2 linked regions of the Saccharomyces cerevisiae S288C genome follow. The protein of the gene in region 1 interacts with the protein of each later gene in a pairwise test. Each region holds a gene or a part of one and is shown on either strand. Other genes may lie near its edges.

Region 1 (3,673 bases):
GGAACATGCAAGGGATAAGTTTAGAGGACATCGCTGATGATCCAACAGATAATATGTATTCAGGAAAGATTTTCCCATTGCCCGGCGAAAATACAAAGAGCTCCAGTAAAAGACTTAGCGCATCGAGAAGGTCCGTATCTACAAGGTCTCTAAGACATAGAGTACCACAAAGCCGATCATTTGGCAATTTACGATAGTTAAAAAAACTAAATAACTCTAAGTAAATTAAGAACAATAATAATCATTATTTCGATTTTTAGTCCTGTAAACACGTTTGCCACCGATGAGTAACACTGAAAGATCAGAGAAAGAAAAAAAAATTCTACCTAATGAAATAAATAAACTAAAAAGATTAAATTAACTAATTCTCATGTTAGTAGGTCACGAATTCTTTAATTTTGTTTTGTGACTGAAATAAATATGAAAACGATAATGAATAAATAAATAAGGAGAGGCAGCAGAAATACGCCAAATATTCAAAGGGCTTTGTTGTTGACCGACTACCAAGTCATCCTTTGCAATGCTTTAACACTAGTATGTAAGTTCCTAGGCTTACTCAAATTAGTGATATTATCGTTGTTGCTTGGGGCTAGGGAAGTAGGAAGTGGAGTCAACGCCGTATCCTTACTTCTTCCATCGTTAGCATTTTGATATATTTCAACGTCCTTATCATCACCGTGTTTGAAACAGCAACGCTTACCGTACGGACAGTAGCCTAACTTCGACCAATTTATGCAAGGTTTAGTTCTATAATTGTTTGATTTTTTCTTGAATTTCAGTTCATTAAGACCATGAGCAAATTGGCATTTATTTCCATACTTACAATAGCCTTTAATAGTAAAAGATTCACAGAGCTCAGTTTTGTATAAGGTCTTATTGACTAATTGAGGAAGCTGCAAAGGTGCCCTTCTACAAGGTTCCAGTTTTGTTGTTTTCTGAATTGGAAGTGTGTATGGAAGTCCAGTAGACTGAGAATCCACCTGAGATAGTTTTTGTAAATTCTCCGCTGTCAGGGGTAATGAAAATGCACTTGTCGTGTAAGTAGGGTTAATCTCAACTTCGAGTGACCTTTTCTTACGTTTTTTCTCAGTTGTAGCAAGTGTTGAGATGTTATTATTGCCTGCGAAAGGGTTATTAATAGGTAATGTATTTGTAGGTCTGGAATCTGATATGATCAAGTCTTTAAAATCTCCCAACGGATGATAACAGTTTGGTTTGGATGGTAACCAAGGAGAAGGCCTTGGTGAGTATTCACTTAAAATGTCCGTTTCATTTATATTATGCCCCTCGGAGCTGCTGCTGTCATCATTATCGGTATTTTCATTGAGCAGTGTCTTTATATAATATTCTTCGATTTCTTTAATCTTTGACTCGTACTCCTTGTTGAGATCAGAAAAGATCGAGGACGTAGTCGTTGAGGTCGAATTGGCATTCGGTATGTTTAAATAGTAGCTGTTTGGAGCAACATTCGGCATCATGGCTAGTGTTAATCCTTAATAGTTCTTATTGGTTGAGTTGCCGAAGAGACTGTGATATAGGGTTCTACGGCTTTACAATCAACTTATGGGTGAAGAGGCTAAATAAGATGTGACTTGTTAAGAGAGCAAGCGCAACAAGAGTGCAAAACCGTCACACTATGTCCAATGATCTACACTATCAACCTTTGAGTTAATGTTCTCTGATCCAGTATATTAGTAACTGCTCACACTGATCAAGAGCGTGAGAGAATACGAGCGAAAAAGAAAGAAGAAAAATTTGGGTGCCATTGGCACAGACCCTAAAAGAGATGTGAGAGAAGTGGGCCATATATGTATATTTTTCCCGAATGTCCTAATAAGTAATGATTGGAAATCCTAGGTCTATAAACTCGGGTAACAGAAGGTGGAAAATGAAAATTTTCTATTTTCCAATTGTAAAATCAGCAGGCATCGTTAGATTGGCTTTAAAGAGCTGAGTTTCCCATGCTGTCGGTTGGTATAATTTAAGGAAAAGCCCTCCCTCCATATCCAGAAGGCACTTGTTAATACTATGGATTATAAGGAAGAACAGAAGCAGGAACTAGAAGTTTTAGAGTCCATTTATCCTGATGAACTGAGGATCATAAACGATGAATACCCAAAGATTAAATTTGAAGTAGCCATTAAATTAGAGCTGGATACAGGTGATTCTACTTCTGTTTTAACCAAAGAGCACACTATAATCGCCGAATTCAAGTTACCAGAAAACTACCCTGACGAACCATGCCTGATTTCATTGGAAGCTCAAGAAGTAGCCCTCAATGACAACGAAGAAGATAACGAGGAAGATGAAGACGAGGTTGAATATGACGACCATGGTAATAAAGTACTGAAAAAGTTTGAAAACCTGCCAGATTTAATAAGCTTTAAGGGGTACTTGCCTGAATTAACCGTACAATTAGAATCGCAAATCGAAACCGATATGTTATTGGGTATGCAAATGTGTTTTGCATTGATTTCATCCATAAAAGAAAGATGTGAGCAATGGTATAGTGAACAATTGAATAAGCTCGAGAAGCAGTACGAGCTGGAAGCACAAGAACGTGAAAAGAAGGAACAGGCCAAGTTCCATGGTACTAAAGTCACAAGAGAATCGTACTTGGAATGGAGGTCTAAATTTCGCCAAGAACTGAAACTGGATGAAAGAGACCAGGTGAGAAGGATGAAGGCTCATCATGGGAAGCTAACCGGTAAGCAAATGTTTGAACAAGGCGTGGTGGGCACAGGCGACGAGTATATGGAAGAGGATGACGCGAGTGTAGATGACGTAGCCAAGGGACTTGCCAAGACCGAAATAGCAAATCAATAAATACTTGTGTACTTAAGTATTTAAGTATTTTCTTCTGCATGGATAATGACATATACAAATGTATCTATATAATATTTTTTTGATATTCAATAAAAAGAAAACTGACATTTGAAGAAGGAAATAGACAAGTTTTTAGTAAGATATTATTAGTGTATATATGGATACATATATCTGAGAATGAAAATTTGTTGACTGTATTGAATGTATTGGGAGATGAAGGGGTATTTGGTGATTAGACCAACGACTTGGAGTAAGAGAATAAGTCGGAAAATGCATCATTTCCCTTCGACTTGTCCTTTGTAGCCTGAGGACGGGCTTTTTGCTGTTTTTTCTCCGCAAAGGGCAATGATGTTTGCGCAGCAGCGGTGGTATCTGTGTCTGACTTTGGGCCATCCCAGTCAAGCAAATCATCTATTTTACTATTGGAAGTTTTAGGTGCTGTTGTGTCGGGACTCGTTTCGCTTTGGAAGTCGCCAAACTCATCATCATCATCATCACTATTGCTGTTGATATTATTGTTTTTGTTGTCATTATTACCATTGTCTATTGTTATATTATTCGTGGTGCTAGTACTATCGTCAAGATCGATTAAGTCAGGGATGCTATCTTGTTGTTGCTTTCTTTTCCTCTGCTGTTCTTTATTTTTGATCTGCTCTCTTAATATCTCCCTTCTTTGTCTTCTTTGTTCTTCCATATGAGAACGCCTGCGAGTATTCGAATTTGCTTCTGTTTCCACAGGAACATTGAAGTTGGTCACATTATTAGCATCCATTTCACTGTCAAAGCCATCTGCATCTGCATCAAATTCATCGTCGTCGATGTTATCGTAACTTGCAGACGTTGAAAT
Region 2 (4,124 bases), on another chromosome or scaffold:
ACAGTGAAGCCATACTGGGCAAATTGTGCAATGGAAGGATAGAGTTAATTTGGTCTATGTACACTGCGAGAAATACGCAACCATAAATGAAACGCAAGTTATGAAAAACCGGATCCAACCCTACCAGAGACCAACTTTCTTTTTAAATTGTGCCAAATTTTTGCTGCCCTTTAAAATAGAACTTCCTTATTCTGAGCCGTCACACGCCTTAATGATAATCAGTCGATCCGATTTTTCAATTGTCGCAATGACCTGAGAAATATAATTGCTCGTGTATAGTGACTTATTCGCCAGCAGGTGTACGGTATCTTTCATCAGTAGTAAGTATTGTTTAATTAAATATTGAATAATAAATATACTAACAGTAGCTCATACATAACTTTAGGCGCGCACTTTCATCACACAGGGTAAAGAAACCAGCCCTGGGTGAGAAAAACTAATAATAGTTAAAAGCATTAAATATATAAATATGGCCTTGTTCCGCGCGTTTAGCATGGCGACTATTCGCTTTCCTCGGTATAGGGCTTGTAGATGCTGACTAAACTATCGTCATCGACAGTACCAACCAAGTTTTCAATAACTGGATGCCAAGCGGCGGTGTTTCTTCTTCCAATCTGTTTTGGAGATCTTCTGCTTCCACCCTTGTGCAAGAATCTCAGAGATTTTGTTTGTGATTCTTCAGTGGCATCTTGAGGAGGAGCAATGGTATCGTCAGGATTGTACTTTGACAAGGAATAGTCAGTGTTCCAGTGGTAAATATTACCAGTGCCGCCCACAGTAAAGAATTCAGAGCTTGAAGTGGCAGAAAATTGGACGTCGACAACAGAATCACCGCCGGCATGATAGAAGTTAGCGATTTCATTCTGAATTGGATCTTCACCGTTTTGTCTATAAGTCAAATCAGTGGTGGCAGCTTCAGCCGCTCTGGCATCCCATAACTTGATAATACCCGTACTGAAACCGGTAACAAACAAGTTGTTGGAAACCTGAGAGCAATCAAACGAGGTCAATTTTCCGTTCTTTGGTTCTCCCAACACCCATATAGGCTTGTCGGAAGTTCTAGTGTCCCAGAACCTCAGAATATTGTCATCTGAACAAGACGCAAAGATATGATTGTCGAAAAATCTTACGGTGTGAGTCACAGTGGTACCAGGCACATGAACAGTACGTAGAATCTCACCAGGCTTACCGGCATTGTCAATGATTTTCAAAATACTGTCTTCTTCATCACCATTACTCTGAGACTTCACAATGGTTTCGGTATCATTGGAAATGCCGAAGTCAGAGATGGCTAATGAGAAATCCTTTTCAGGTAGATCACCAGGTCTGGTTAAAGAATGGATGCTGGCATAGCTGGTTGCTGGACCCATCAATTCCTGTACAATGTGAATAGGGACCTTTATACCCTCTTTGAACCAAGCCAACGACCCGTTCTTAGACATCGACAATAATGTAGTTTCTCCAGTCTTATCTAAGTAGGCCATTTTGGAGACAGTTTCACCCTGGTACACGAATTTTGGGCTCAACGAGGTGTTTTCAATACCTTCAAAGGCGTCACCATAGTCTTTCACCGGTTCTGAAGCGGCTTCTTGTAGTGGTACAGCGAAGTCAATTTCGTAGATATCACTACCTTGAGAGTATATAACACTTGAGGTTAGAGTGTTATTTTTTTTATCTGGAACAACAACGTTGCTGAACGTCAAGGACTTCCTTTGGTGCAGAACATTGTCCACACGAGACACAAATTTTGGTCTTAAGCTGGAGATATGTTCATAAGTGGAAGGCGTAGATGATTTCCAAACCTTTTTTGGCATTTTTGGTTGTAATGTATAGTGTGTTACAATTTATTTGTATCTTTCAAGATTGGTTGATTAATAATTAATTTTCTTATCTAATATCTACAATTCAGGCGAATATAAACTTTTCGGATCTTCTTTTTTCCCTCCCTTTATACTGGAAGCTACAGAACTGAAAAAAAAAAAAAAAAAACATAGAACATTAAGGGGACAGACTGCATGGAAAAGGAAAAGGTAAAAAAAAGCCCCGAAATGGTACTCTTAAATATGAGATGATAAACGAGGATTCGAAGGAAAATAGCCCAACTATCTACGAGTTGAAATTAAAAGGGAGTAGTGAGCGCCACTATGTGTGCTCACTGTGTATAGCTAAGCAATTACATAAGGGATAGTACATAAACCACCGTATGTTAGGAAAGAGGAAAAAAAGGAAAGACAAAGGTCTTTTGCCTATTGTATGACTTAGCCTTTCTTTGTTATACCCCGGCGCGTTCCAAAAAGGGAAGCCAGCACAGCACCGCATATTGAATACCGCCTTCTCACGTGGTACAGGCACAACTATCTTGCATGTGCCTCTGGGTCTTTCTTAGCGACAGCCTTTTAAGATTCTGAATTGTAAACATCGAGCTTCATCCGAGAAACGAAAGAGGGAATCTTGAAATGGACTATGTCACCATTAGATCCTCCCTCTTCTCCATATAGCCGGTTTTTGTCTTATTTCTTTGCTGGAAAGAAAAAAAAGAAATTGCTTGGTTAATTACTGGTAACCCTCTTTTCTTGAGGCCTTACTTCGTTGGCTTCAGAAATCTGAAAGAGTCTTTATTAGGAGCGATACCAGTATCTATACAACATTATACCATCACTATATATTACAAAAAAAAAAATAACCCCGATAGCGTGCTAGAAATGAATAAAAAAAAAAAAAACAGAATTATGTACGTGAATGCTTGTGAGTTACTGCCTTTCCCATAGGTGGTAACGTTAATTTCTTACTCTTTTTTTTTTTTAATCGTCGTAACCTCTGCCAATGAAGTCACTGGCCAGAAATGGTTTGTAGGCAGTAACAAGACTATCTGAATCAACAGTGCCAACAAAATCATTGATTACGGGGTGTAGCGCCACAGTGTTCCTCTTCCCGAATTGGTTGCTCGATCTTCTTGTGCCACCTGTGTGGAAAAATTTTAAACATTGACCCTGAAGTTCCTCCGGAGCAGCCACTCGAACTTCGTCTTCGTTGTCATCGTCGTTTCTTGAAAAAGAGTACTCCATGTCCCAGTGGTAGACATTACCCGTTCCTCCAACCGTAACAAATTCTGTTGCAGAGGTTTGTGAGAACAGGATATCGACAACGGAATCGCCGCCAGAATGGAACAACTTGGCTATTTCGTTTTGGATCGGTTCCTCGCCGTTCTGCCTATGTGTGAGGTCAGTAGTAGCCAGTTGCACAGCACGCGCATCCCATAGCTTGATGACACCCGTGCTGAACCCAGTGACAAATAGGTTTTCAGTAACTTGAGAGGAATCGAAGGACGTTAGTCGTCCATTTTTCGGTTCGCTTAGCGTCCAAAGCGGTTTGTCCGCTGTTCTTGTGTCCCAGAATCTTAAAATGTTGTCATCTGAACAAGATGCAAATAAATGGTTGTTAAAAAATCTAACTGAGTGAGCCACGTTGGTCCCTGGAACGTGCACTGTACGTAATATATCTCCCGGTCTATCGGAGTTGTCGATGATTTTCAAGATGCTGTCCTCCTCGTAGCCGTTACTTTGTGACTTTACTACCGTATCCATATTTGTCGACACATCAAAATCTGACACTGCTAATGAACCTGGTCTGGTTAGAGAGTGAATACTAGAGTATCTAGTAGCAGGGCCCATCATTTCCTGTACGATATGAACGGGAACCTTGATCTCATCTCTGAACCATGCCAAAGAGCCGTTCTTGGACATCGCGATCGCCGTACTGTCGTCTGAGCTTTCCAAGTATTGCATTTTTGCCACTGTTTCGCCCTGGTAAATCCACTTTGGGCGCAATGGTTTCCCCTCAACATCTTGGAAAGCATCACCATACTCTGGATTTGGGGTGGCTGCAGACTTCGTCTTGCCGTTACCTTCTTCGTCGTCGTCGTCGTTGTCGTCGTCGTCGTCGTCGTCATAGAATGTCTTTAATGGTAAAGTAGTGTCTATTTCGTAAATATCACTACCTTGAGAATATAAAAGACTAGTCGTCAAGGTGCCCTTGGATTTGTCTGGAATAATCTCACTTCTCCATGTCAGTGTCTTGCTAAAATGTAAAACATCGTCGACTCTTGTGCTGAATTGTGGTTTAAA

Evidence for each region.
Region 2: the proteins of CTH1 (region 1) and WTM1 interact in a two-hybrid assay, tested with the Saccharomyces cerevisiae proteins (one study listed by BioGRID).

What each region holds. Positions count from the first base shown.
Region 1 is NC_001136.10:763,678-767,350, forward strand, and holds CTH1 (putative mRNA-binding protein CTH1), read right to left. Parts: upstream 1,479-3,673; coding exon 501-1,478; downstream 1-500. Other genes in the region: NUM1 (Num1p), read left to right, coding at 1-197; GIR2 (Gir2p), read left to right, coding at 2,029-2,826; ENT5 (Ent5p), read right to left, coding at 3,059-3,673. UniProt on the Saccharomyces cerevisiae protein: Binds to specific AU-rich elements (ARE) in the 3'-untranslated region of target mRNAs and promotes their degradation. In response to iron deficiency, promotes the decay of many mRNAs encoding proteins involved in iron-dependent pathways.
Region 2 is NC_001147.6:768,490-772,613, reverse strand, and holds WTM1 (transcriptional modulator), read right to left. Parts: upstream 1,815-4,124; coding exon 501-1,814; downstream 1-500. Other genes in the region: mitogen-activated protein kinase kinase MKK1, read right to left, coding at 1-13; WTM2 (transcriptional modulator), read right to left, coding at 2,802-4,124. UniProt on the Saccharomyces cerevisiae protein: Transcriptional modulator with roles in meiotic regulation and silencing.